Canis lupus familiaris: one gene and its partner. The protein of the gene in region 2 purifies or fractionates together with the protein of the main gene of each other region. This does not show direct contact. Links are inferred from orthologs where the notes say so. Each region holds a gene or a part of one and is shown on either strand. Other genes may lie near its edges.

Evidence for each region. Proteins that work in one complex are often made in the same cells at the same time.
Region 1: the proteins of COPB2 (region 2) and COPG1 purify together in Homo sapiens (co-immunoprecipitation; 8 studies listed by BioGRID and IntAct, counting the BioPlex papers as one, with this or other methods). This does not show direct contact. The link is inferred for Canis lupus familiaris from reciprocal best matches to the Homo sapiens genes COPB2 and COPG1.

What each region holds. Positions count from the first base shown.
Region 1 is NC_049241.1:2,861,643-2,864,307, reverse strand, and holds part of COPG1 (coatomer subunit gamma-1), read left to right. Parts: intron 1-371; coding exon 372-510; intron 511-834; coding exon 835-933; intron 934-2,665. UniProt on the Homo sapiens protein: The coatomer is a cytosolic protein complex that binds to dilysine motifs and reversibly associates with Golgi non-clathrin-coated vesicles, which further mediate biosynthetic protein transport from the ER, via the Golgi up to the trans Golgi network.
Region 2 is NC_049244.1:36,073,286-36,077,110, forward strand, and holds part of COPB2 (coatomer subunit beta'), read right to left. Parts: intron 3,552-3,825; coding exon 3,421-3,551; intron 3,140-3,420; coding exon 2,932-3,139; intron 1,899-2,931; coding exon 1,788-1,898; intron 813-1,787; coding exon 598-812; intron 1-597. UniProt on the Homo sapiens protein: The coatomer is a cytosolic protein complex that binds to dilysine motifs and reversibly associates with Golgi non-clathrin-coated vesicles, which further mediate biosynthetic protein transport from the ER, via the Golgi up to the trans Golgi network.

The DNA.
Region 1 (2,665 bases), on a different chromosome or scaffold from region 2:
CTGAGGCAGAGGGTGGGATCTGATGAGTCATAAGTGTCCGAGCCGTAGAAGGCAGACCTTTGGATCCTTAAGGCACTGACTCTAGGCAGGCTTCCAAAGGGACGTGACCTTGCAGCTGACATCCTAAGGTGAGCACTTGGGTCAGGGCATTTCTATTGAAAGGACACCACTTGGCTGTGAGCACCTGAAGGAAAGTCCAGTTACTGTATGTCCCCAGAGCCAAGCACAGTGCTCTGTGTCTAGTGAGCACTTGCCCAATGCGTTGAAGAAAGGGATAAGCAGTGAGTGCAGAGCAGAGGCCCCACAGGTGTGCAGAACAGGAACCCATTCCCCTGGAGGTGTATGCCTAACTTCCACCTCCATCTCCACAGCTGGAAGATCTGGAAATCACTGTTGCTGATCATATCCAAAAGGTCATGAAACTGAACTTTGAAGCAGCCTGGGATGAGGTAGGGGATGAGTTTGAGAAAGAGGAAACATTCACCTTGTCTACTATCAAGACACTTGAAGGTAAAATCCTTGGCTATTGAAATGTGTCCTCCCCTTTCACTCCTCCTGGCCTTGGCCCCCCAGGAACCCAGGGCCATGTTGAGAGTATATACTTCAGATGGCACTTCATGAAAAGGCCCTTAGAGAGGGCCTGGCTGGCTCAATAGAACAGCATGTGACTCTTGATCACAGGGTCATGAGTTTGAGCCCCACATTGAGTGTAGAGATTACTAAATAAAATTTTTAAAAGCGCAACTTAGAGCAGGCTTAGAGGATGGGGGAGTGGTGGTGACACAAAGGTAGAAATGAGATGTGGCTTAATGATGCTGGGATTTCTCCCTATAGAGGCTGTGGGCAATATCGTGAAATTCCTGGGAATGCATCCTTGTGAGAGGTCAGACAAAGTGCCAGATAACAAGAACACCCACACATTGCTTCTGGCTGGTAAGCAACACTTCTAGGTGGGAAGGGCCTACGTAGTTTACAGTCTGCATGCTACTGTGCCCTGGGTTGAGGGCTCCCACTGGGAACATGGGGATTCAAATTTATAGCATTGAAGATTCACAAAGTAAGGGGCACCTGGGTGGCTCAGTCGGTTAAGCGTCTGCGTTCAACTTAGGTCATGATCTTAAGGTCCTGGAATGGAGCCCTGTGTCCGTCTCTCTGCTCAGTGGGGAGCCTGACACTCCCCCTGCTTGTGCTCTCTCTCACTCTGTAGAATAAATAAAATCTTTAAAAACACAAAAAAGAAAATTCATAGAGTAAAAAAAGCCCAGCAGTGAAATATCCGACCCTTGCTGCCTGTCATCTATCTAGTTCCTTTCCGACAGGTGACTGATCAGCATTGTTATTATAAACAGTGATTTTATGGATACGAACACTGACATGCACAATTTCCTATTTTAACTCAGATGTTTACGTGTAAATAGTATATATATTGTCTTTCCTATGCTTGGCTGGCTCAGTCGGTAGAGCATGTGATTCTTGATCTCAGGGTCCTAAGTTTGTGCCTCACGTTGGGGGTGGAGATTACATTAAAAATATATTTAAAAATACATAGAGTTTCCTCTTTTTCTAATTAAAAATATATTTAAAAATACATAGAGTTTCCTCTTTTTCTAATTGTAGTAAAATGTACATAATGTAAAATTTACCATTTTAAGCTCAGGTATACAGCCCAGTGGCATGAAGTATATCTGCATTATTGTGTAGATATTAGCACTGTTCTTCTCCAAGACTTTTTTATCATCCCAGAGTAAATCTTCATACTTTTTTGTAGCTTCCTTATATTCCATTGTATGGGTGTACCATAATTTATAGAATCAGCCTGTATTGATAAATATATAGATTGTTCCAGGCTTTTTGCTATTACAAACAATGCTACAGTGACTAATCATGCACACACACATACTTTATTTTGCATGTATTCCCTGAGGATATCTATAGGATAAACTTCCCAAGGCATTACCAGGTCAAAGCGCATTTCTCATTTTGATATAAATTTCTAGTTGCCTTCTTTTTTTTTTTTTTCTAGTTGCCTTCTATTGGAACTGTATGCCTTTCCTTCCACACTGTGGACAACATAGTATGTTATCAGTATAATACAGTAATCAGTAATATACAGAGTATATTATCAGGTCATTATCAAATGATCTTTGCCAGTCTGGGTGGAAAATGGTATCTTAGTGTAGTTTTTATTTTATTTTATTTTTTAAATTTTATTTATTTATTCATGAGAGACACACAGAGCAAGGCAGACATATAGGCCGAGAGAGAAGCAGGCTCCATGCAGGGCGCCCGATGTGGGACTTGATCACAGGTCTCCAGGATCACACCCTGAGCCAAAGGCAGATGCTCAATGGCTGAGCCACCCAGGTGTCCCTGTAGTTTTTATTTTATATTTCTTGTATATTGAAAGAAGTTAAGCATTCTTCCCAAATATGTGTGCCATTTGTATTTCTTTTTCTGTGAATTATTTCCATATCCTTTCTCAAATTCTCTACTAGGTTGATTGGTCTTTTTTTAATAGGAATGGTATTTTAAGAAGTCAACATGGAAATTTTCAAACTTACACAAAAATTGAATGCTATAAAAAAAAAAAAATTGAATGCTATAATGAGCCCTCATGTGCTCATCTTCCAGTTTCAGTAACTTAACAGCATCCATACCGCCACTC
Region 2 (3,825 bases):
TTAAAAAAGTCACTATGGAGGGCAAGGTTACTGAATATTTTGTGTTTTATTTCATAATATGGTCAACTAATGATGAGATGATTTGGTTTGCACTAACTGCTAGACTTTGAGAAGTATATGGTATTTTTATGCTTTACAACTGGACTCAATTCTAGAAGTACCTGACATCCTCAACCCCCTTTATTCTTGCCATGGACAGGTCAGAATTACCCAATTTGGGTAAAACTATTGGCCATTTGGGTACTACAGGAACAGCACAATAGCTTCCTGCTGTGGTAAAATAAAATGGCTCAGCCAGGGAGAGGCCAGGCTTTTGAGAAAGGTGTTTAACATTTCTCTCAGTCCAAGCCTCCTTAAACAGCACATTTTGCTTATTTCGACCAAATGTGTCAAGAGCATCCCTTGCTGAAGGTGGACACCACCACGGTAGCACTGTCCTTCCTAGGACTACCCCTACTAGCCAGGGCTAGGCCAGGTGCCTGTCCGTTCTCTCTCCAGGGTTCATTCTTCCTCTGTAAACCACCCTCATAGTCACTGCAGAAACCAGTGCTTTAAATTACTATGCCCACCACTCTTAGACCTTGGATTAATACTTACTTGCCCTGTAAAAAGTAGCTCATGAATGCCACGTTATTCTTGCCATCTCTCTCTGCACCCTCTGCTAGTTTGTTCACCATACTAGCATTTCCAGAGGCAGTGGCCAAGAGCAACAGGCCTCCATAATCCTGTGCATGGTGCAGGCACTCCTGGGCAAGGCCAAACTGACATTTACTAATGGCAAGTTCGGCAAGTTGTTTCCACTTTTGTTCTGACTGTAAAAAAAGAGTTTCCAAGTTAAAACATCTATGGAAATAAACATTTGAATTTTCAACATAACAGTCTTCTGTTAACCTATTACTGGGCTGCCAATGGGAGATATTTCATACATATACTGAGCTGTGCTTATTAAGCTGGTTCTATCAATCAAAGTAAGAATGGAATGACAAAATGTATAATGAGAAAATGGAAGTTATTCGCATATACAAAATGAATTCAAACAAATCAATTTTAATGATGCATGAATAATCATCAACCCATTATAATTTTGTAATTACACAGTAAAACTAAAAGTAATACTATCTAATTGGAGTTTTAAGGTAATTAGATTGCAGTTATTTTAATGAGTGATTTAGTACCATTTCTGGAAAGTCTAGAGCATTGTTTTTTATATTCTTAAATATTTAACAATGATGTTATCTGTTATTTGTAGCTTCTCAAAAATCAAAATGCTACACATTTGGATGATCTCAATGTAGTTGAAATTTATTTAGCACATCTGAAATGAATTTACCAATAAATGCTAGACTTAAACCACAATTGGGGGCCCTTAATACATAGCAGTTCATTAAAATCATTAAATTGTGTCAAAATATTAAAATCTTTAAAACCAACAACTTTCTCACTAGTTTGGGATAATGGCAAATTACTGCTTTGTCTGTCTGTACTCTAAGTTCCCAGACTACAATATCTAATATCTTACATCTTCTTTTACAAAACAGATCTCCTATAAGCTACTGAAAACACTTTTTCTTAAACAAATTCACAATGCTAAAAATAGATCTCCAATAAAATTCATTCATGTAAAGACTAACAAAATGCATTTTTTAAGTGAACAAATAGAGGCAATCATCCAAAGAGATTTACTAATTTGCATTTCAGAAAAATTTAACAAGAGAACTTAAACTAAACACAAAGAAGTAGCTACTAACCTTTGAATCAATTACAGAAAATCATGACTTAGTACATACCTCTGCTTCTACTGCTAATTGGTATGCGATTTTCAGTTCTCCAAGCTGTAGAGCAAGTTCAAAGCGATGCTCCGGATCTGTGGATACTGTAAGAGCTTGCTGCTTGAAGCCCTAAACAGAGAACATATGTAACTGTGTGTGCAGTCTATATGTGTATACCACACACAGCAAGTCAGCCATTTAGCTCTCTCTTGAACTAAGGCTACCTTGCTAACACACAAACCCCACTGCCTAAACATAATAAATAATACTCTTTAATGAGAAGACAGAAAAACGAAGGAATCATTAAATTAATTGCTAAGAACAAACCAGCAGACAAAATGCAGTCCCGCAATGCTATTTTCTAAGCACTGGAAGGTGACTGATGCTGAACAAACTCATGTAAAACTAGTAAATTAAAAATGCAAAAGCAAGCAAATGTCAAAAAGACAAAGATTCTGGAAAGCTGAGTGAACAAAGAGAGGCTCAGTGGTGTAGACCTAGCTGTTCACAACCTACTCACTAAGCTGGGCTCAGAGATCATGTAATCCAGTCCCTCAAAGAAAAGCAGTTAAATGTAAAAGCTTCCTTCCAATTTTTCCTAATCTGTGGGTCATTTAGCAAACGTTTTGCTTGCAGGTCCTGACACTGATAGGGTATGGTTACAGGACTTGACTGCTGGTCTTATGTCTACTTGATTCATCAAAGGGCAGGAAATCTAAAACTGTCTTCCATATTCCACAGAGTCATCAAAACAGGCTTTTAAACCAACTACTGTAATTATCAAATTAGCTTCTCCCCTAAGACAAGGAGTACTGATGGGAGTATGCACTGTGGGCAAGTTCATCAGCTCTATGGATGTGGTGCATTAGACCAAGCTGAGACTTCAAGAGACTCCCCTGGAATGAGGAAGAATGCTCGGTTATGGGGTGGCCAAGAGGGAGTTGCTGGACAGCTATCCAAGTTCTGTCCAGCTGGATCTCCAGGAAGGCTGTATCATTATGTTTAAAATGTTTTAACTTCCCAGACTACACAAACTGCCCCCTCTCCCTCTCTCTCTGTGTCTTTCACGTATAAATAAATAAAATCTTTAAAAAAAAACAAAAAAAAACAAAAAAACACCCAAAAAGAAAACCAGCAAACAACAAAAAAAAATCCCTCTTACTTGCTTTTCCAGAAAGTGTGCAACTCTGGTCCTCTGTTCTTTTGGAATGGTAGGAAGAACCTTATCAGCCATGCTAAAGTCCCTTCTCATGACAGCTGTCTGGTATTCCAGCACGGAAACCAGCAGAGAATAGCTAACAATGTTCAGTTCTTTATCACCCAGATAAAGCCTGTTGTCTTTAGGAATATAGCCCAGGAGATACATTGTCCTGTAACAGACACAGAAACTAATTAGGAGTAGGCCCAAATCAGTAGAATGATACACACACACACACACACACACACGCACACACACACACAACCTGCCTCTTGCTCAGAATCTTTTCACTTCGACTGATGCAATTTTGATAAACAAGAGCCAACCTACTAAAACTGCTACACACTGAAAAATCAAGCCTATCACTGCTACAAACCAGCAATAGATTTTGTTTAAAAAACATAATTCTGGATTTAGAATGCTTGACACAAAAGTAAAACAATATTCAGTTACCTGTCCAAGTGGGCAATGGTGACTATTTCTCCTCCAACATAATAATTTAATCTGTTCACAGAACTTGTGTAAATGAAGCAATCGCCTACCCACAGCCCTGTTTTCACAATTTCCTGAATCTCACCAAGAACCTGCAGAGAGAAAAATAGTCTATTATTACCTTATTGAGAATTAGAAGTCCTGTCAATCATAAAAACTGAGTATGACTGGGGTGATAAGGTACAGTAAGGACGCAAAGTAAAATCCTACTTCAAGAAAGAAAATATTTTCTTGGAATTTCTATCTTCTTTCTCCATTTAAAAACAGATTCCTGGATGAGTATTTGTAACGCAGAATCTCACTGCTGCATCAGAGCTGTGATCTAAACTCACACACATGAAACTGGAAAAGGAAGTATTTCATAAA